Linked DNA regions of Macaca mulatta. The protein of the gene in region 2 purifies or fractionates together with the protein of the main gene of each other region. This does not show direct contact. Links are inferred from orthologs where the notes say so. Each region holds a gene or a part of one and is shown on either strand. Other genes may lie near its edges. The genes, in order: SERPINA1, OS9, DERL2 and HSP90B1.

The links.
Region 1: the proteins of OS9 (region 2) and SERPINA1 purify together in Homo sapiens (affinity purification with western blotting; 4 studies listed by BioGRID). This does not show direct contact. The link is inferred for Macaca mulatta from reciprocal best matches to the Homo sapiens genes OS9 and SERPINA1.
Region 3: the proteins of OS9 (region 2) and DERL2 purify together in Homo sapiens (affinity purification with western blotting; 3 studies listed by BioGRID, with this or other methods). This does not show direct contact. The link is inferred for Macaca mulatta from reciprocal best matches to the Homo sapiens genes OS9 and DERL2.
Region 4: the proteins of OS9 (region 2) and HSP90B1 purify together in Homo sapiens (affinity purification with mass spectrometry; 6 studies listed by BioGRID and IntAct, with this or other methods). This does not show direct contact. The link is inferred for Macaca mulatta from reciprocal best matches to the Homo sapiens genes OS9 and HSP90B1.

The regions. Positions count from the first base shown.
Region 1 is NC_133412.1:167,654,818-167,659,855, forward strand, and holds the end of SERPINA1 (alpha-1-antitrypsin), read right to left. Parts: intron 4,586-5,038; coding exon 4,315-4,585; intron 3,080-4,314; coding exon 2,932-3,079; intron 2,086-2,931; coding exon 1,894-2,085; 3' UTR 1,818-1,893; downstream 1-1,817.
Region 2 is NC_133416.1:64,897,759-64,903,027, forward strand, and holds the end of OS9 (protein OS-9 precursor), read left to right. Parts: coding exon 1-52; intron 53-620; coding exon 621-810; intron 811-1,723; coding exon 1,724-1,888; intron 1,889-2,030; coding exon 2,031-2,143; intron 2,144-2,423; coding exon 2,424-2,549; 3' UTR 2,550-3,198; downstream 3,199-5,269. UniProt on the Homo sapiens protein: Lectin component of the HRD1 complex, which functions in endoplasmic reticulum (ER) quality control and ER-associated degradation (ERAD).
Region 3 is NC_133421.1:6,977,494-6,982,735, forward strand, and holds the end of DERL2 (derlin-2), read right to left. Parts: intron 2,655-5,242; coding exon 2,549-2,654; 3' UTR 2,152-2,548; downstream 1-2,151.
Region 4 is NC_133416.1:111,147,879-111,154,562, reverse strand, and holds the start of HSP90B1 (endoplasmin precursor), read right to left. Parts: upstream 4,258-6,684; coding exon 4,209-4,257; coding exon of another isoform or gene 4,040-4,208; intron 3,866-4,039; coding exon of another isoform or gene 3,856-3,865; exon of another isoform or gene 3,619-3,855; intron 3,249-3,618; coding exon 3,146-3,248; intron 2,498-3,145; coding exon 2,356-2,497; intron 1,821-2,355; coding exon 1,704-1,820; intron 689-1,703; coding exon 357-688; intron 1-356. Other genes in the region: uncharacterized protein LOC144333002, read left to right, coding at 3,856-3,865, 4,040-4,662.

The DNA.
Region 1 (5,038 bases), on a different chromosome or scaffold from region 2:
ATCAAGCCAGCTTTGCCACTTATGAACTATGTGACATTGTGGGAGACCAGCAGCCTCTCTGAGCCTCAGTTTCCTCATATGTAGATTTGGAGTTTAAGAGCACAGCGGATCTACTCACACATCACAGTGCTGCTACAGTTATTAAATGAGAAATAGCCAGGGAGGTTCTTCACAGGGATGTCTGATTCACAGAAAGCTCATAAATGCAAGAAATGTAGCTCTATTTATTCTCTGCTCTAATAGGTGTAAACGGTGTTTTTTTATCTGACTTGAACATCGTACCAGCTCAAAGGCAGGTCTTACTGGCCACGGCTGTGGCTCAGAAAGGTTTGGCGACTTCATGAAAGTCACACAGCTGACAGGGGGATACCGGTCTTCAGACTCTCAGGTCTGGTGTCATCCTAGGAGGCTTGGTGACGGTCATATCTTTAATGTATTTGTGGAGAGTGAAAGGCTGTCACTGAGTAAGCTTAAGAGAACAGGAGACTTGTGTGGGAAACAGTTGGTATCCATTGATTAGGCTGAATCATGTTGAATTGCTAATTTCACCATTTTGAACTACAAAAATCACTATTTGGTTTGACTCAACCTCATCCTTTAAGCACACATTCATGACAGTGAGTGGTTAGACAGGGATTCCAAGATTAGTTTGGGATGGGTCAGTGCCTTCCACAGGACAAGGCAATTCCTGGTAGAGACAGAGGGAGCAGCCTGTCCTTCAGCTGGGGGCTCAGGGGACCTCCTGGCTGCTGTGCCCTTTAGCAGAGCCTTGGAGGATGGAAGGACTCTCCTGGCCCTTACCACAAGGGCTATTCCGGAACAGCCTCCTTCCATGGCACTGGAGCTGCGGCTGCCCTCTGAAGACTGCAGGGACAGCAACAGGCACAAAGAAGTCAGGCTGCATGTGGCCCCAGTCAGGACTCAGGGGAGAAAGAGAGGGGTTGCAGGGGTCAGTGGGTGCTGTGCTTCCTCTCCCATAGCTGGGGAATCCTTGCGATGGCCTTCGTGAGCCATCAGCAGGCCTATGGCCACATGACTAGGGAGGAGAAGGGATATAGGGTAATGGTCTTGTGGGGACTGCTGGGCCTGGTTGAGTCTGAGGAGGAGATAGAGAAAAAGAAGCAGAGACCCTCCTCTTCATCTGAGGAGAAGGGACCTGATTCTAAACTGAGACATGTGAGGCTTTATGGGGCAGCGATGGAAGGACAAGGGCAGAATAGGTGTCCTTGTCGCCCCATGGAGAATGGGCTTCAGGAGGAATCTGCTTCAGTTGTTTTCCAGAAGTGCCCAAGAGGCGCCGGGCCCAAGCCTGGTTAGGTGACAGTGGGACAAGAAGAGGACACGGTCCTCTCTCTTTTGTTGTTGCAGATGCCACAAAACAGGGCTAGGGCATGGTCAGGCAGTTCTCGGGCTCCCAGGAGGGCAGCCTTGGGGTGGGCACAGGCAGCCCTGGCAGGATGAGGAACTCTGGGTGGCGGGGAGTGGGGGATGAGCAGGGGGACATGAAGATGCTTGGAGGAGCCTGGGGTCATGGGCTGGTATCTGATTCCTCCCCTGTGATTCCTTATTAGGGACTCCAAGACAGGACAAGGAAGACTGGAGCTCTCCAGAAACAGATGGGCCCAGGTCCGTAAGCTGAGGATTCAGCCCCCTCCATCCTGGGCCAGCATATGCCTGCCCAGCCAGATGCTCCATGAACACAGTTGAGGGGGTCCGGAGAGAGCACTGTGACCTGGAGCCCACACACGGCCTCAGCAGGCAAAGGAAGACCCAGAGACAACATGGGAGGGGTTTGCAGTCACACACGCAGGCAGGGACCAGCTCAACCCTTCTTTAATGTCATTCAGGGAGGGGGCCAGGGATGGAGGGGAGGGGCTGAGGAGTGACAGGCAGTTATTTCTGGGTGGGATTCACCACTTTTCCCATGAAGAGGGGAGACTTGGTATTTTGTTCAATCATTAAGAAGACAAAGGGTTTGTTGAACTTGACCTCGGGGGGAATAGACATGGGTATGGCCTCTAAAAACATGGCCCCAGCAGCTTCAGTCCCTTTCTCATCGATGGTCAGCACAGCCTTATGCACGGCCTGGAAGGGAGAGAAGCAGAGACATGTTCTAAGGCTGAGTTGTGCCCCAGCCCAGGCCTGGAGCAAGGCTCACGTGGACACCTCCCAGGAAGCGTTCACTCAGGCCTTTCTCCCGCTGCACAGCCCTGGCCCTGCACATCCTCTCCCTCCCTGTCACACAGACCTTGCTCCTCCTCAAGGCTTTGGCTGACAGGGCTGGCTCCCCTCTGTCTATCTTCCTGACAAGCGCCTATGCCCCTGCTCAGGGTGCACCCACAACTCAGAAGGGGAAAGAGCATCGCCACTCCACGCCTGTCTCCAGGGCTCTCTCCTTTCTAGCACACAGCTTGAAGCTCCTCGAGGACATGGACCCTGACAGTGACCTTCACAGTGCCCAGATCCCAAGACAACGCAGCCGTTCACGGAACTGCAGTTGTTCTTTGGTCACCTTTAGTTTTCCAAAGTAAGAGTCATCTTTAGCTGACATCATTCATTCATTCAGACACCAAATCTCACAGATCGAAGGAGTCACAAAGTCCTTTGAAACAACTTAGCCCAAACCTTTCTGTGTCAATATGGATAAATCAAGGCCCAATGTCTAGAAGGTCCTGGGCAAAGATGAAATTCGGGGTCGGTGACACAACCTCAAGGGAGGCCCTGAAAGTGCCAGCAGCACAGCAGGCCCCTGCCTGGCTTTGCCGTCTGACCACGTCCCGCGTCAGTGAATCACGGGCATCCTCAGGAGCTCAGCCTCGGTCTTCATTTGTTTCCCTTGGCCCCTTCCTCAGCCTCAGGACAGAACTGCAGCCCCCATACATCCTTCCCTACAGATCCCGGGGTGCAACAGGGTCATCAGGGTGATCTCACCTTGGAGAGCTTCAGGGGTGCCTCCTCCGTGATCCCCGAGAGGTCAGCCCCATTGCTGAAGACCTTAGTGATACCCAGGTGGCCCAGGACTGTCTTCAGATCATAGGTTCCAGTAATGGCCAGTCTGGGTAAATGTAAGTTGGCAGACCTGCCGTGCAGAAAAGAAATTCAGGGCATGGCACAGCATTCCTCTTGTTCTTCTGGGACCCACCGCAGTGCAAGTGTTTTCTTTTCTGATTATTTCTGCCACTTACTCCTGTGTCCTCCACCCACTCTAACATGGGAACTTGGCTTTGGTTTGTTCTACTATTAGCTCTTCTACACTGAGTCAAAGAATGTTAACATCAAATGAATCATGAAAGCTTGAAATGCCACCTCCTCTGAGATTCTAGGTGTACTGGAAGCATGTCTCATCCTGCCCTGTAGTGTTTGGTCACTGGGCCCCCAGCCTGAAACATCCCCAGGGTCCTATACCCAGAGGAACATGGGCTGGTAGCAGTGCCCCCAGAAGACTGACCACACCAGGCTGAGTGCTCCCCTCTTGTTTTCCATGGGGAGACAGAGCCGCCCCGAGCAGGGTCTGGTGTGAGCGGGCAGCCTGGCTTTGGGCTCTCTGATCAGTTACCCTCTCAGCCTCCTTGTTCTTTCTCAACCCCTGGAGCAGGGACCTCAGGAGGTGCTGGCGTGAAACAAAGAAATTCCAGCCTCAATTCCTATTATGAACCCAACACCTTTTGTATTTTCATCTTGGTTTTACAGTGTACAAAATAAACTAGATAGGAGGGCATGGGCATAATTACGAATGCACACAGACACACTAATGTGTGACTCATATTGGAGTATCATTTACTACAGGGCACCCAATCTAACAGCACCGATAAAGTGACAGAGAAACTCAAGCCTTTTGCTAACATGCCCTGGCTATTCCAATTTTGAACCTTGCTTTTCTGGGCCTAGCCACACAGGCTCTTCCCCCATCCCCACAGGGACAGTCTACCCTTGAACTCCACACTCCACTACTGCCTTTGCCAGGAAGCCCATCTGTTCCCTTTTGGTTCTGCCAGAACGTGTGGTGGTGCTGCTGTCCCTGTCCTGGGCACTGGATATTGGGAAGGGACAGTGTCCACGCTGGAGTGGGAAGTCCCCAAGGACGAGACCTTTACCTCGTCACCCCTGGGTACTGTCCTGCTCATGGAGCATGGCCGGTGCCACCTGAACTCAGTGGTGGCCTCATTCTGGAAGCCAAGTTTATGCAGAGTAGCAGTGACCCAGGGATGTAGTGTTCACCCTCTCCAACCCTCTGGTCAGTTCTGACGGGCCTCAGTCCCAACGTGGCTAAGAGGTGTGGGCAGCTTCTTGGTCACCCTCAGGTTGGGGAATCACCTGCTGTTTTCATTTTCCAGGAACTTGGTGATGATATCATGGGTGAGTTCATTTTCCAGGTGCTGCAGTTTCCCCTCATCAGGCAGGAAGAAGATGGCGGTGGCATTGCCCAGGTATTTCATCAGCAGCACCCAGCTGGACAGCTTCTCACAGTGGTAGATGTTAAACATGCCTAAACGCCTCATCATGGGCACCTTCACGGTGGTCGCCTGGTCCACGTGGAAGTCCTCTTCCTTGGTGGCCTCAACGTCAAAGGGTCTCTCCCATTTGCCTGGACAGAGAGGGTAAGGCGGGCATCAGTAGGGGTGGGTGAAGGTTTGGAAGAGTGTGGCAGAATAAAGGAGCCATCAGTCCCCTCCCTGAGAAGCCCTGAACCCCCTTGACGACACACATCCCTCAAGCCTCAGCTTCATCATCTGCAAAAGGTGCTGAAACCAACCATCCAGGCTGCCAAAAAGGTCTGTGTGGAGATAATTCAAAACTAGAGGAAGATGCAGAATTTCTACATCGCAGAGATGTAAGGCTAAGAGATGCCATCCTGACTGTGCATTTTATTGGAATCGTATGTTTATTTGAGGGTGTCTTGGATACTACAAATAAAATGTTGGAGCATCAGGCATATTTGTTACCTCCTGTCTAAGGCTCCCTGCCTCTTGTTAATTGGCAGCTCAGTTATTCATTCAGGGCAAACATTCTGCTTACTATTCCTGAGGGTTTTCTTTAT
Region 2 (5,269 bases):
TTCGGAGGTGAAGGCTGGCATGGAGCGGGAACTGGAGAACATCATCCAGGAGGCAAGCCCAGCTCCTCCTCCTGTAATTCCACAGCCGCCTGGTCCCGTGAAGCAGGACAGGCTGAGGGACTAAAAGAAACAGAGAGCACAGCACAGGGCAAGGACGGGGCACTTGGAAATGATAGCTGTTTCCCTAATTAATCGGGGCTATTGGGGAAGGGGGACCAGAGAGAGGCACAAGACTTAAATATCAGACTCTCTGGCCAGGCACAGTGGCTCACGCTGTAATCCCAGCACTTTGGGAGGCCGAGGCGAGCAGATCACCTGAGGTCAGGAGTTCAAGACCAGCCTGGCCAACATGGTGAACCCTCTCTACTAAAAATGCAAAAAACTTAGCCAGGCATGGCAATGGGCACCTGTAATCCCAGCTCCTTGGAAGGCTGAGGCAAGAGAATCTCTTGAACCCGGGAGGCGGAGGTTGCAGTGAGCCGAGATGGCACCACTGTACTCCAGCCTGGGTGATGAGCAAAACTCCATTTCAAAATATCAGACTCTCCTACACAGCCCAGCCCGCTGGCTGCCTCCACGCCCCAGACCCTTGACTCACTCTCTTCTCTTGGGTATTCCAGACCGAGAAGGAGCTGGACCCAGATGGACTGAAGAAGGAGTCAGAGCGGGATCGGGCAATGCTGGCTCTGACATCCACTCTCAACAAACTCATCAAAAGACTGGAGGAAAAACAGAGTCCAGAGCTGGTGAAGAAGCACAAGAAAAAGAGGGTTGTCCCCAAAAAACCTCCTCCATCACCCCAACCTACAGGTGAGAGCAGTCAGACAAGAAGGAGTAGCCCAGTCCGTTGTTTTCATCCCTCAGCTGGTCCTATTCCCAGAGGGGACCCTGTTCCTTCCCTTCTGAGGGTGCTTATTCTCTCCCCGGTTTCTGGAACACTGTCCTCACTTGCACCTGCTTCCCATCACCATCATCCCTTTGCGTGCTTACCTCCTATTCATCCCTCTGGGAAGCAGCTTTTAGAGCATGTCTGCCTGTTTTCTGGTTTGCTCCTGTACACCCAGTACCTAGCACTCTGCCTGGCACACAATGGATGATCAGTAGGTAGTAATTGAATGCTTGCGAGTCTATATGTGAAAACCACACATCTATGAAGGATGCAACCTGTCAACATTTAGGACTTTGCACCAAGAGAGTCCCCAGCTGTCAGGGCATGAATAGGAGAGCCCAGCCGCACATGAGCCAATAGCCTGGATAGACTTTAAATTATGTCTTCTTCTTGCATCCCCTTGTGTCCATTTCATAGGGTCCTATGGGTGTGGACATCAGATGTTCCAAATGAAATGTTCCAGTTTCAAACCCTCCATCCCATTCTCCCTATAAACATTGAAATGTCTTTAAAGTCCTAACATATGGAGGAGGAGACCACACTTTTCCAACCTGCTTCTTCAGACAAAACTTTGTTGGTGCAGGTGGCCTGCTTTTGGCTTCAGAAAACATTTGTTTTCCTATAGGTGATGGGCAGAATTATTGGGTAGGGTGGGAAGACGGAAGGCAGCAATTGGTGGAGGGAGCTCTATAGGCTGAATTGGGAGTGGGGGCACACATTTTTTTGAGCCCTGGCTCATACACATGTTGAGATGGAATAGCTGCCAAAGCTGCCACCCCTAACCCTGGAGTCATGCCTCTGCTTTGTGTTTCCCTGTGTGTCTCCCCCTCTAAGAGGAGGATCCTGAGCACAGAGTCCGGGTCCGGGTCACCAAGCTCCGTCTCGGAGGCCCTAATCAGGATCTGACTGTCCTCGAGATGAAACGGGAAAACCCACAGCTGAAACAAATCGAGGGGCTGGTGAAGGAGCTGCTGGAGAGGGAGGGACTCACAGCTGCAGGTGGGCCCTGGAGGGCGGCTGGACCCAGCACTGTCGGAAGGGCAAGCTGCCGGAAGTGGAGGGGCTGGGACCAGTGGGGCAGGGGGCCTGCCCTGAGGCTCCCAGCCATCCTCTCCTCTCACTGCATACTGCTCCTTTCCAGGGAAAATTGAGATCAAAATTGTCCGCCCATGGGCTGAAGGAACTGAAGAGGGTGCACGTTGGTTGACTGATGAGGACACAAGAAACCTCAAGGAGATCTTCTTCAATATCTTGGTGAGAGGCTTCTACCCCCAAGTCCTGGCCCCCAGGCCTCCTGTCCCCAGCCCGCCTGGAGTGGAGGTGTGGGCCTGCCCCAGCCATGCCGTTGCTGAGCTTCCGTTTCCTGATCTGTAAGACAAGGCTAGGGTTCCAGTGATTCAGAGTGCTGCCATGCAGGAAGAGCCTCTCAGGACATGGGTGTCCTCATTCCCTGCCTTCCCCCAGCTGCCTGGCCCAGGACTTCCTTGGGCTCAACAGCGAGTAGCTCCAGCCCACCTCTACCCTCTCCCACCAGGTGCCGGGAGCTGAAGAGGCCCAGAAGGAACGCCAGCGGCAGAAAGAGCTGGAGAGCAATTACCGCCGGGTGTGGGGCTCTCAAGGTGGGGAGGGCACAGGGGACCTGGACGAATTTGACTTCTGAGACCAACACTGCACTTGACCCTTCATAGAATCCAGAGTCTTCCTGGACTGGCCTGCCTCCTCCCCACCTCCCCACCCTGGGACCCCTGAGGGCCAAACAGCAGAGTGGAGCTGAGCTGTGGACCTCTCGGGCAATTCTGTGGGTGTGGGGGCCCTGGGTGAATGCTGCCACCCCAGCTGGCAGCCACCTTGAGAGCTCACCCGGCCTGTGATGTTTGCTCTCCTGAGCTTTCGCTCAATCCTCTTCCTCTTCCTCTGTGGCTTTTCTTGTTATTGTACTCTAATGATAGGATATTCCCTGCTCCCTACCTGGAGATTCGGTAGGATCTTCTGAGTGGAGGTGGGTAGAGAGAGCAAGGAGGGCAGGACACTTAGCAGGCACTGAGCAAGCAGGCCTCCACCTGCCCTTAGTGCTGTTTGGAGTTGCTTTACCCCCTTCTCTTGAATTGCCTTGAGATGTCCTTCTCCCTTTCCCTGCCCACCCTGTCCCCTACAATTTGTGCTTCTGAGTTGAGGAGCCTTCACCTCTGTTGCTGAGGAAATGGGAGAATGCTGCCCATCACCTCCAGCACAATCCCAGTGAAAAAGCTGTGAAGCATCCACCATGTTCTTGAACAATCAGGTTTCTAAATAAAGAACTGGACCATCAATCTGTCAACCTTTTTTGTGGGGTGGGGGTTCCAGCAGGGAGGAGGCTCAGTGTTCTTTTCAGATCATGCTCTGATCCTGTTCTTTGCTCCCCACTCCCCAGGTACTATAAACGGGGGCTGGGGTATGCAGGAAGAGACCAGAGTGGCTAAATGAAGCCTGGCCTGGCAAGGATTGAAAGAAACACTTGCAGTACCGTCATCTTCTTTTTCTCATCTGTCTGTTTCTGTTCCTTCCCTTCTCTTGCACCAAGTCTTTCCCTATCATTTCCCCCTTTATACCCTGAAAGCCAAAATGCACACCATGGAGTTCCCCACAGCAGGGATCTTCCTTCTGCTGCGGTCTCGCCCACAGCATGCTCCAGATTCCATTTGTCACCCACACCCCTACCCACCTGTCCTTTCAACATTTCCCAAAAAGACCTCCACCTTTGGGCATGCCCAGAGAGAGGGCTGCTGCCCACACATGCCAGTTTCTTAGTGTGCCAAGGGTATGTGGGCCTGGTGTCTCCCTTTCTTCTTCACTACCAAGTGCAAGCATGGGTCCCCCAACATGCCTCCTCCCAGTGTGGAGGACTCTTGATTTTTTTTTTCTTTCTTTTATTGAGACAAGAGTCTCGCTCTGTTGCCCAGGCCGGAGTGCAGTGGCCCGATCTCAGCTCACTGCAACCTCTGCCTCCCAGGTTCAAGCAGTTCTGCCTCAGCCTCCCAGTGACTGGGATTAAAGGCATGCACCACCATGCTCTGCTAATTTTGCTCTGAGGTGAACGGCCTTTCTGCTGAAGGCTCCCCCCGGGCTCACAGGAAAGAAAAGGGATAGAGGAGCCAGGCACGGTGGCTCACCCCTGTAGTCCTAGTACTTTGGGAGGCTGAGGCGGGAGGATCACTTGAGGCCAGGTGTTCGAGACCAGCCTGGCCAACATGGTGAAACCCTGTCTCTAATAAAAATACAAAAAATTAACTGAGTGTGGTGGCGGGTGCCCATAATCCCAGCTACACGGGAGGCTGAGGCAGGAGAATCGCTTGAACCCTGGAGGCGGAGGTTGCGGTGAGCTGAGATCACGCCACTGCACTCCAACCTGGGCGACACTGTGAGACTGTCTCAAAAAAAAAAAAAAAAAGGATAGAGGGCCGGGAACTCCCACATGTCTGTAAATGGAGAGTGAAGGATTCAACTGTTGAAGGAAGCTCTTGCTGAATGTGGACTAGTGCTTACTGTGCATGCTATGCTTACGTTGTTTTGTTTTGAAGTGTAAATTGGCAGACTTAGAAAACCCTGCTTCCCCTGGTCCATCTGTGCCCCCTGAGGGAGGGATGCTCTAGCTGGGCAAGAGCTTAGACACTGCCTTGAGGGCAGCAGTAGTCAGAATGCTGTGCCCAGACCACACCCCTCATCTCCCACCAGCGGGGCCTTGAACAAGTCACTTAACTTTCTAAATGCTGTTTCTTCATTGGTAAATTGTAGACAACAGTACTGGCTTTTTAAGATGGTTGCGAGGATTTAATGACATAGAGTGTATGTCTTGCTTTTAGCACAGAACCTGGCCCGAAGTAAGTGCTCACTAGCTTTCTATTATAAGCTAGCTCTTGAGTTCTGAAAAGACTGGGTTACTTGGAAGCAAGGGTCTCAGGAGTCCCCACAGCTGATCAGCAGCTCAGAATGGGAAGGGGCTGGGGCAGGAGGACTGTGCTTTGATTTGCTGGGGATGGAGTCTCAGCATCGCCAGAAAGCAGAGTTTTGGAAATCTCACTCTGTCAATCATTTTGTACTTTCAATCAAAATTCCTTTTTCCTTTCCTTTGGCAGCACTCCCATGGTGAAGGTCGGTCTGCCTCAGCTGTGCTAAGACAAACAAAAGGAGGGGAGCAGGGTGTGGCAGATGGCAGCCAGCAGGGCTGCAGGGAAGGCTGGCGGATGGCAATAGGGCATCCTGCATGGCAGGGCATCCAAGCAAGGCAGCCCAGGGCGAGCTGTGAAGGGGGCATGGGCACAAAGGGGCAGCAGCTCTCCTTCACCCACCCAGGGAGTCCCTTTCTGGGCTCCTATTTTGTCATAACTTGGAGGACTTGATATT
Region 3 (5,242 bases), on a different chromosome or scaffold from region 2:
AAATGTATATAAAATGTATCTCCTAAGGAGATGCAATTTGTATGTCCATTTATTTTTAAATGAACGTATACCATGTTTCCATAACAAACAAACAAAAAACACTATGCTTTAGTCAAGTGTGCTTTTCAGTATTACTGGAAGAATCCAGGAATCCCTCAAATTATGTGTAAGGTTAGTTGGTCACAAAATTCTATGTATCAAATCTCACTTTTAGTTTATTTGCATTGGGAAAGGGAAGTGTGTTCTGGAAGAACTAAGATTGAGAGAGGTAAATTGGGGGGAAAGTAAGGACTTTTCCTTATGTCCATTCCAGCACAGGTATCCTCTCAAGCAACACAGGGCTAGGCATGGTGGTTGTAGGGCTGGCCAAACTGATGAGAGGTGACACTGCTCAGGACACAGTGTAGTCGCACAGCAGGGCATCCTACCACTGGGAACTTGCACCCTATAAAATCAGAGAAACCAAAAAACCCTGTAACTGCCTGCCTTTAGGCTGTATATTCAAAACGTACTTCCTGTTTTACCCAGTCATTAACGTATACAGATATTCCCTACTTAAATGAACAGTGAGTGAATAGATTTTAGGATCAGCATTTTACCACAAAAATGCCATTCATTGCATAACTCAACTCAGGGAGAACAAATAAAACTAGAGAAACTCATTTCTAGCCCAAAAACAATTTAAAAAAACAAAAAACAAAACAAACGTCACTGATAAAGCATTCTTGAGCAAAAACAAGAGGATAAAACTTAAGAATCCCGTAAGGATTATACATGCTAAGACTGGCTTTTAAACTTTAAAAACCTTTTTTAAACTGCTTAAAGAAAAAGCAGTCCCATAGACCCAGGTTCCATAAAATTGCAACAATCATATTCAAAGTTACTAGCAACATGTAAAATACTTAAATTCCATTAGTTACGCAATTCCATTTAAAGACATTAAAACACTTTTCACTTCAAAAACAATCTGAAAATTCCTATTTAGGATGTCCGTTATGTTTAAGCCTATATCTGTCTTTCTGAGGACAATCTCACATTCTGGAAAGCTACCCCTTAACAAAGGTTGAACTACTACTAACAGTCCACTTTTGGGAAAGGGACTGGTGCATACACACTGTTAATGAAAGCTGTTTGGAATCATCTCTTTCCTAGCGGTGCTCTTCCAGGTTCTGTGAGTTACTTAAGCAGTGTGAATGCAAACCTGCTGAGACTCAGGGAAGACTTAATACTTAGGGGAGGTATTTATTGAACCACAGCATTAAGTGTCTACTTCTGCGGACCCTGTCTTAAGTTCTACCTGATTGGGAAGGTAATCTAGGTACTTGGTTCTGAAAAGGTTCTTGAATTTTCATGAAGCAAATCACTAATGTTACCTAGCCAAAGACCCTGGAAGAACATGTGCCTGGCTAACTGGTATCGGTTCATCTGGCTCCAAAGTCAACATTCTAACTTGTTTTCTAAATCGAATGAAAATCTGAGACCCTGTCTCTATTTTTTTTTAATTAAAAAAAAAAAAAAGGCAAAAAAAATTTTTTTAAAAGGCTGGGTGGCTCATGCCTGTAATCCTAGCACTTTGGGAGGCTGAGGTGGGAGGATTTCTTGAGTCCAGGAGTTCAAGACCAGCCTGGGCAACACAGTGAGACCCCATCTCTATTAAAAAAAAAATTTTTTTTAATTAAAACTTTTTTAAAAAGAAAAGAAAAAAAAAAAGTCTAATGAAAATCTTCCTAGTTTTCCAAAAATGTGGCCCTTAGCAATCTTTCCCTGGATACTTCTTAATGGAGAAATGTAAGCAAAGCAAATAAGATGCCACATTAGCTTACAGCTGACTTTCCTATAGCTGAATTCCTACTGCTACAAGAAGCATCCTCCCTCCTTTTTTTCCACGTTGTCTGACAGTTTTGCAAAACCCAGATGGAAACAACCTATCCAGATGACAGAAATAAATCATCTTCCTGGTGAATCTTGCATTCTGAATTAGTAAGATGTACACAACCACAGCATGACAGCCACGTATTTCCAATCCTGAAATGAAATCCAGTTAAAAGTTGTGAAGACACAGAAGAACAGCTGTGTAAACTGTTCTGAGCTCAGATCTACGCAGGAGAGCTACAATACATTATCAGAATTTAAAAGATCACACACAAAAGCTTTAATACAGTGAGAGAAAAATGGAATTCAGTTTTATTGTGTCCTCTCTGAAACTTCCATTTACACCATGGCCTCATCTATCAAGAGGAAGAAAAGGCCCTGCCTTATACCATAAAAATCAAGTACTCATGTACTTGTTGGAGGTGGCAGGATATTTGTTTCTCCAGTTTTTTGGCTCCGAGAAATTACACTTTCAGTACCAGCATAGTGAGGAACCACTGGCAAACTGTTGGAAATGTCTTCTGGATTAGTCAGTGTACCATTTCATAAAGTGCTTCTGGAGTTAAAATCTGCCAAGCTGTCAAAAGTGTCCACACTTTTGCAACAAAGGATAAAAGAATCCCAGTGGGTATCACTGAGTCCTTCCCAGCTGGGTCTCATTATTGGCACTGCTGCTTTAACCTCCAAGGCGCTGGCCCTCACCCCAGGCGAAGCCTCCTGGCCGTTCTTCAGGTAGTGGATTGTAATTTGGATCCTCATCTGGTGTATCAAAAATAGCTTTCCTAAAAGACAGGCAACAGATATAATTTGGTCCCAGAGTCATCTCAGGTCCAAAGTACTACAAGGTCAGTTCAGGTCCCACAGGGTTTCCACCCATAGGTAAGCACTACACCCGCCTGCCAATTAAACAGTCAACATATTGTAAGAGCATCTATAATTATTAACATTTACATTAGCTTTTATCTTTCACTGATTTTTACTAGAAAAGCAACCCAAATCATAATAATTATAGAGAAGGAGAAAACAAGAGATTAGCAAAATATCCTAAATTCCCAGAGGTAACTATTGTCAATGTTTCAGTTATTCTTTGGGAACTTTTACATTATGTAATTTTACAAAAGTTAGATCACACTACTTTTGTAAGCTGACTTTCACATATTTATCATTAATGTCTCCCCATAACCAAGGTATCACCCAAGTGTCCATCAACAGGTGAATGAACAAAATATGGTACATACATATTACAGAATTTTTTTTTTTTTTTGAGATGGGGTCTCGCTCTGTTGCCCAGGCTGGAGTGCCGTGGTGCGATCTCGGCTCACTGCAACCTCTACCTCCTGGGTTCAAGCAATTCTCCTGCCTCAATCTCCCGAGTAGCTGGGATTACAGACACCCGCCACCATGCCCAACTAATTTTTGTATTTTTAGGAGGGACGAGGTTTCATCGTGTTGGCCAGACTGGTCTCGAACTCCTGAACTCAGGTGATCTGCCCACCTCGGCGTCCCAAAATGCTGGGATTACAGGCATGAGCTACTGTACCTGGTCAACATGGTAAAACCCTGTCTCCACCAAAAATACAAAAATTAGCCTGGCACGGTGAGGCAGGAGAATCGCTTGAACCTGGGAGGAACAGGTTACAGTGAGCTGAGATTGCTCCATTGCACTCCAGCCTGGCAACAGAGCAAGACTGTCTCAAAAAAAAAGGAAGGAAATTCAGACACATGGTACAACATGGATGAACCTTGAGGACTTTACACTAAATGAAATATGAAATAAGCCAGACAAAAAAGGACAAATATTGTATGATTCCACTTATGAGGTACATAGAGTAGTCAAATTCAGAGAAACAAAACAGAATGGTGGTGGCTGGGGTGGCGAGTTGTTTAATGAGTACAGAGTTGCAGTTCTGCAGGATGAAGAGAGTTCTATGGATGGTGGTGATGGCAGCAAAATAGTATGAATATACTTAATGCCACTGAACATTTAAAATGAGTTAAGATGGTGAATTTTATGTTAGGTATTATTTTACTACAAAAGTTTTAAAAAATTCACAAGGTATCCCAAGAAAAATTACTGCAGAACATAGGAGGGGATAGTAAATGTCCAAAAGACTCTCTAAGTACTAGGATGTAGTAATTCAAAACCTCACTAAAGAAGGAACCATTAAAGCAGCATCCTCAATTTGCACTTATACTTCTACTTGTAATCCCCCACAGTTGATAAAATTAGAAATGTATTTGAAAACTTCTAATTTATACTGGAGTCAGAAAAACTATACTTCAAAATGAGTTTTTAAAATTCTTATGAATTAACAATAAAAACAAACCAACAGAAAAAAATGGGCAAAGGGCTGAATAGGCAATTCAAAAAGGAAATCCATGTGGTCAATAAACGTGAGAATGTTTGCTCTCACAATAATCAAAGGAAAGTACATTAGAAACTGAGATCCCGGCCAGGCGTGGTGGCTCATGCCTGTAATCCCAGCACTTTGGGAGGCCGATCACCTGAGGTCAGGAGTTCAAGACCAGCCTGACCAACATGGCGAAACCCCATCTCTACTAAAAATACAAAATTAGCCGGGTGTCGTAGTGCATGCCTGTAATCCCAGCTACTCAGGAGGCTGATGCAGGAGAATCACTTGAACCTGGGAGGCGAAGGTTGCAGTGAGCCGAGACTGAGCCTCTGAACTCAAGCCTGGGCAACAGAGTGAGAATCCTTAGCAATGACAACAAAAACAAAACTGAGACCCCTTCTACTGCCCAAACATTAGCAGGATGGGGGTGGGGGCACAGCCTGGTATAGGGAGTCAAGAGCCCCATCAGACCATGCACACATGGAGGTGGCCCGACGAGATGTTAGCCTGAGTAGGGTGGGGAGGCATCCCCGTAAGAGGGCAGCCTGGTCTGGGGAATCTGAGGGTGAGTGAGACGAGCAAGGCATCCATATGGGGGAGGTGGAGACTATCACAAAAGACTGGTTACATATGAGGGGTAATTAGGTAGGTAAAACATTAATCATAATAAGAATCAGGTTAGGACAGATGGAAAGGGCAGATGGAAAGCAGTGGTACATTCACACAACCAAATAATACTCAGCAATAAAAAGGAACAAATTACCAATAAATACAAGAACACAGATGAGTCTCAAAAACATTATGTTGAATGAGAGAAGCCTTTTACCAAAGAGTACATGCATACTGTACGATTCTACTCATGAAGCTGCACAACATGAAAAACTAATCTATAGAGGAACAAAATCAGAATAGCAATTGCTTCTTGGGGGACAGGTGCAATGACTGACAAGGAAGGATATCAGGGAACGTTCTGATTGATGGTAATTTTCTGTCTTGATAGATACACAGAAGTGTGC
Region 4 (6,684 bases), about 46 Mb from region 2:
TCTCTTCATCTAGTGAGCATGCCTTTATTCAGGATGCTCCACAGACAAATTACTCTTCTAACCTGGGAAACTGACAAACCATGCCTCCTCTGTGGGTACCCAAGAAGCCTTCTCCCCTGGGGGAGCTGCTATTTCCTACTTTGTACCCTCCATGTACACCAGCAATCACAAACCTTTGTGCCTGGCCCTTTGCAGGTCCTCAAACATTTCTTCAAGTGATGGTAACCGTTCTGTTTCCTCATTTTATAGGCAGGAAAATTAAGGCCCAGAATAAGTCATTTGCTCAGAGAATAGAACTGGAGAGTCAAGATCCTCACCATGACTATTAATTATTATTAGGAATCAGTTATACTCACGTAATTGTCGTTCCCCGTCCTAGAGTGTTTCCTCTTGGGTCAGCAATTACTGAAAATTCATTGGAGTCGGACTCCCAGATGTGCTGGGTATCGTTGTTGTGTTTTGATGTGACAATAACCTTATCTGCTACAAGGAAGGCGGAATAGAAACCAACACCAAACTGGCCAATCAATTCAGAAGTTGACTGGCCATCTTCCTGTGCTTCCGTCATCTTGTTTAAAAACTCGCTTGTTCCAGATTTGGCTATGGTACCAAGGTTCTTAACCAACTCTTCTCTGGTCATTCCTACACCGGTGTCTGTGACATGCAGCAGGTTCTTCTCCTTATCACACTAAAAGCAAGACAAGAACCAGATAGTTGTATTTAATATTTACATTACGCCAAGCAAATATTGAGGAACTAACCAGCTTTGGGTCCCATCAATTCCAATACAGAAAACTAAACTGAGATATTTTCCTCTACATAGTTTTTTGTGGCCTTTTCTGAAAGTGTACATCTTAAAGTAATCTATGTATTTGAGAAAGTATTAATATCAAATGGGCAGACTGGTCTAAATGTCAAGGGTTAGAGGCTGACCTAAATAAAACAAGTTACCTTTGAAGAAAAACAATTCAAGAAAAATAAAATTTTATGTCTTGCCTATTTCTTTAATAGAAAACAAAACAACTTGAATGATTCTTCTATTTGGAATCTGTGATGGATCATTAATATTCTTCACTCAATATTCCTGGCTGTCTGCCTTCCAGAAACCTAGGAGGATTCTACTTTCTCCATTTAAGAATGGCTAAGGCCATGTGACTAGTTCTGGCCAATGAGTTATAAATGGCCAATGAGTCGTAAATGAGAGCTCTGCTTTCAGGCTGAGCCTTTAATTATAGTAGTATGAGACCCTCTAAGCTTGCTCTGCACCATGGCAACCGTCTACACACTACAGATGGCTGCCCACGCCTCTGTCCCAGCATGGGGATGAAGCAGAGCAAAGACCACAGGCAGACTGTGATCAATGATTTAAGCCAAGGGCTAGCAAACTTTTTCTGTAAAGGGCCACATAGTAAATATTTTAGGCTGTGGGAGACTCATGTTCTCTGTTAAAACAACTTGACTCTGCTGTTGAAACACAGAAGCAGTCACAGATAATAAACAAATGGGCATGGCTGCATTCCAATAAAACTACTTATAAAAACAAGTAAAGTCAGATTTAGCCATAGTTTGCTGACTTTCAAGCCACTGAGGCTTGGGGGTTTTTTGTCATTGCAATATAATCTAGCCTATCTTGACCGATAGGGATCTTCTACCTCTAAGGATTCCTTTTCCTTTAAAAGAAAGAAAAACTGCCTTACACTTACCTTAATTTTAACTGTTAGTTCCTCATTTCCAGAAAGAGCATTTTCATCAGTCAGTGATATTAGCCGTATCTTATCTAAAGCGTCGGAAGCATTTGAAATCAGTTCTCTCAGGAAAATCTAAATGGAAGCCAGAGGTAATACACTTAAGACTATCCTCAAGATACATTAAGATATTCATTTTATGCCAAACCCATTTTATTTCTTCTCTGTACCTTATAAAAGCACTCTTTAAGGAATTAAGACTTCTTATGGTATAGGAGTGGCTTTATTCTTTTGATTAAAAAAAGGCATAGCTCCTTACACAAAGAACTGTGGCAACTATAAGGGATACATTAGCTGGTAAGGGTAGTAACACTACCCATCTGACAGTGATCTTGAGGTATACAATGCAAGAAGTTTAATTTACGAGACTGCCCTTAGAATCACAACTATTATCAGGCCATGAACCTATTTAGAGGTAAAGGAAAAAGAAAATGTCTGATGCTCCCTTTCTTCCCAGATATCTAGTAACAATTCTTGGACATATTAAGTATTTAAAGGTTGTTAGCTACTTACTCGGTTAGTACATTACTTTTGCAGTAAATCAAGCAAATTTAAGTAAACAAGTATGCCACCATATAGAGACAAAATATTCTAACCACATGTTGCTTACCTCTTTATTTTTATACAATGAATTGATGATAAGTTTCATCATTCTGTTAACTTCAGCTTGAAAGGCAAACTTTTCCGACTTCTCTCTAAGTTCTCTTATTTGCGATGCATTTAATCCATCCAACTGAATAGCTTCTTCCTCTCTAAGGAAATCAGTTAGATAAGCAAATATTGCATGGCTTAGTTCCCTTCAAAACTAGAGGAATTATGATGCGAGCACAGTGGCCTCTAAATATTGTCTTGGGGGTTAAAATGGAAACCCTTATAAAGTATTACTGATATACCATCTCATTATGTTAGCACAGCAGTAGGCTACCTTTAACATTGCACTGGAAATACCTGGTTCTTAAAATTGCCAGAAAAAAAACCCCCAAGTCTCCTCTACTAAAAAGCAAAGTCATACTCATTTATGCTCCACGGTGAGGACTTCAAAACTGTCAATAAATCCCAAGAGGCCAAATTTTAAAATATTGTTCAACTGACAGAAATCCCATTTTTAAACTACTCGGCGTACACAGTTAATGAATACAAATCCAACTGAAACTCTTTTCTAAAGTCTTACAAAGTTCGTGGTGCTAGTATTCTGCAATATAGTTTTCAAAGGAATTCACTCAGTTTTAATCACTCCCAGGGACAAGTTAGGAGGTATGTATGCACACAACTCACCAGGTATTTAAATACAGGGTGTTAGACTTTATCTGGACCTTTGGAGAAGAGATACATAAGAAGTGACCCTAACTCACAAGGTTCACAGGGCTTATCTGTATAGGTAAGTTCAAATGAACACAAACCTCTGTACTACTTCATCATCCGTCCTTGAGCCTTCTCTACTTTTACCCAGATCCTCTTCTACTGTACCATCCACATCAACTTCGTCGTCAGCTCTGACCGACCCTGAAGATTTAACACGGGAAAACTCTTCAACATCGCACTTCTCCAAGGAGGATGATCAAATAGGGAAGGGTAGGGGTTGCAAAATTCAGCTGGTAAATAAGGGTGGAGGGGATGAAAGAGTGTATTCCCTGGTTTAAATACCCAAGGTAAAGCCAAGACAGCACATCTATTTAAGTTCTGATGTTGAGGTCCCCAGTAGATTCTGAAATACTGAGGTAGTCACCACTTCTAAACAGTGTGTCTCCGATCATTTATAAATAACGTTAAGCAGACTGACACCAGGTCTCTTCTACAACCACACGTGTTGCGCGCAGGCCGAGCCAAGGCCTCCCAACTGACCAAACCAAAACTTCGGCCTTCGTTATCACAGGTCAGAATGCAAATAGGATTTATGCAATCTCTGGCGAGAGGAACTGAAATTGAGCCCAGAGGCATGAGAAGGGGGCGAAATGTTAAGAACCGAGCTCCAGCAAAACCGAATCAAACACGCTGACACTGCCATTCCGCTGGCCCCAGGCCTCACGCTCCCAAGCCAGCATCTTCTTAAGAAAGGACACGCGCTTGCGAGGAGTCGGAGTCTGGGGAATTACCGGACGGGAAAGCTGGGATGGCCGAAGGTAGCGGTGGCCGAAAAAGTCCTCCGGGCGGGGAGGGGGGAGGGACTCCTCACAACTCCCGGGGGAGCCAGAGCCCCAGAGAGGCCCCACCCCGAGGTCGCTGAGACCTCCGGGCGAGATATTATTAGATCTGTAGGGGAGTTAGATGATTCTGCTCTCTTTTATTATTTCCAGAGGAAGAAGAGAATAAACGTAATCCCCTGGCCCTCTTTCGAGGAAAGGTGACGTCCCTTGGCCCACCGCAGGCCTCGGGATCCCCCCTCCCAGGTTCAACGCCCCCAGAACCTTCGAGAAGCGGCCGCGTGTGTAGAGGGGGGACGTCTGCTCCTCTAGGATCACTCACCGAAGGTCAGCAGGACGCAGCAGAGGCCCAGCACCCACAGGGCCCTCATGGCGTGCGGCCGGTGAGTCTCAAGTCCCTCTCGATCGCAGGAGCCGCCTCCACCCCCACCCCTAAGCTCGGATCCTCACACCTCCAGCCGCGCGGTCCGCCCACTACACCCCAAGCAGGTCGGGCCGCTTTTCACCCCCACTTCTCGAGGGCGGGGGACGGGAAACATGAACCCACCAATCGCGCCGCACCACGCACCCACGGCACCCAATGGGGATTCGTGGGGGGGACGGAAGTCCACCAATCGGAGCTGTCCAGGTGCGGTGACCGATGCCCGAAGCGTGGCTCCTTCCGATTGGTCAGGGTTTGCAGCTTTTCTCCAATCAAATGGCTCCGCGGGCCCCTCACACGTGGGACCGCCCCTTTGCCTGGGCGGCTGTGGCCTCTAAGGGCAACCGTCCAATGAATGTAAGCACAGAACACATCCATCTTTTTCGAGAGGTCGCGGCGGAACTACTTCCGGATCCTAGAGAGCGTTTATTCTGTGACCAGTGGAAACGGTAGCCATGGCAACGTGTTCTTCACCCTTTCCCATCTATATCTGGGGTTACGTTGGGAGTGATTCCAGCACGACTTTCGCGGCCAGAGTTCTCGTGTGGCGGCGCTTCTCGGAAAGGAGAAACACACGAGAGTGGTTGAAAATCCCCTAGAACCCTTCCAGATGGAGGTGGTGAGAAACTACAGCTCCCGACATGCAATGTCCTATGGGGTACACTGCATTGAATGCTGGGAATCGTAGTCTTTGGTCTCTGAGGACCAGCTGCGTAGTTTGGCCCTTACTTTCACGTTCCCCCAGCGTGTGTTTGCCGGAGCCCTGTCCTGCGTCTTAGATGTTACATCTCGTTCTGATTACAGTAGAGATATGTGCCTATTCCAGGAGTCTCCATTGTACACAGCTTTTAGAAGCGGGCCTAGAAAGCCTTGACGCCTCGGGCAAGGCCGCCTTGTTCTGGGGGGTCGGTCTGAGTCTGGGGGCTCCGCCTCCGGCTCGAGAGCACGCGTTTCCGAATCCGCCTACAAGTGTGTCACTTGGGCAGCCCGGGCCTTCACCTCGTCTGTGCGCAGCCGGAATCCCCAGGCCTTCCTGATCTGGTTTACAGAAGATGGTTGGGACCTCCCCGACCTGACGGTCTTAGAACCCCTTCTGTGAATCAGGTGGAGAGCGTGGTGGAAAATGTGGGTCTAGCACAGAAAAGGAAAACCCTTAGTTTAACGAATGCAGGAGGATGCACCTGCAGATATTTGAAAGCAAAACCTGTGGTGCTGCACATGAGAACGGGATTTGCAGCTTTGTAACTTCATAGAAATACCCTGTCCGTGTTCAGAAGGACGTATAAAACACCAGGTGTCTTTCCTGTGAGGGAAGTCCCTCATGCTAAACTTGTACCTTTGGAAATATTTTCTACGTCCCTTTAACCTACTCTATACATTACCCACACGCATATCCGCGCCCATCTCTGACATACACATCCCCCTTCCTTATTGCTTCCTCCAATAAAATTGAACTTTGAATATCTTTTCAGATAATCATCCGAATTCCTGAAGACAAGCTTTTTAGTGACAGTCTGTCATAGTCTTTTACAACTTCCCATATTTAGGTGTGCGGATCTTGGCTCTGTGGTTGGCGCTCACGTATTGTGGTGGTGCCTTATTTACATCTGCCCAATTTACCTACATTTGTTATTAGTAAGCAAAGAGTAGCTTACAAAGAATGCTTTATGCATGCTTCTGTGCTTTCATCTTTTTTAAAAAGAGCATACTAGAGGGTGAATTACATTCAGAGATTTCAGTTGCGTTTTTGTGTATTTTAACTCCTTTATTTTCTGTTTTTAGAGAAAAATGAGTTCACTTTTTTCCCCTCGCATTTCACAGCTCACCTTTTCCTCCAATTCTGAATAAGTAAGCAACCAGTTCTGAAACTGCAAATGCCACCTTAACTAGTGAGTGGTGGGGAGTTGGTGCTGCACCTGGAGGGAACTGAGACTGAGACATATCCTTCAAAATAGAGCCACTGCGTGTGGGTAGACGTTTCTGCAGATGATGGTGGGAATTCATGAGGCAGGCAGAGCACCAGACGGTAGGCTGGCAGAAGATGGCGGGCCCTTGTCTGATCAGCTCTGTTCATTAAAGATTGGCTCTCCGGCCTGGGCGCGGTGCCTCACGCCTGTAATCCCAGCACTTTGGGAGGCCGAGGTGGGCGGATCACCTGAGGTCAGGAGTTCAAGACCAGCCTGGCCAATATGGCGAAACCCCGTCTCTACTAAAAACACAAAAATTAGCCAAGTGTGGTGGCTGGTGCCTGTAATCGCAGCTACTCGGGAGGCTGAGGCTGGAGAATCGCTTGAATCCAGGAGGCGGAGGTTGCAGTGAGCCCAGATCCTGCCACTGCACTCCAGCCTGGGCAACAAGAGCAAAAACTCCGTCTCAA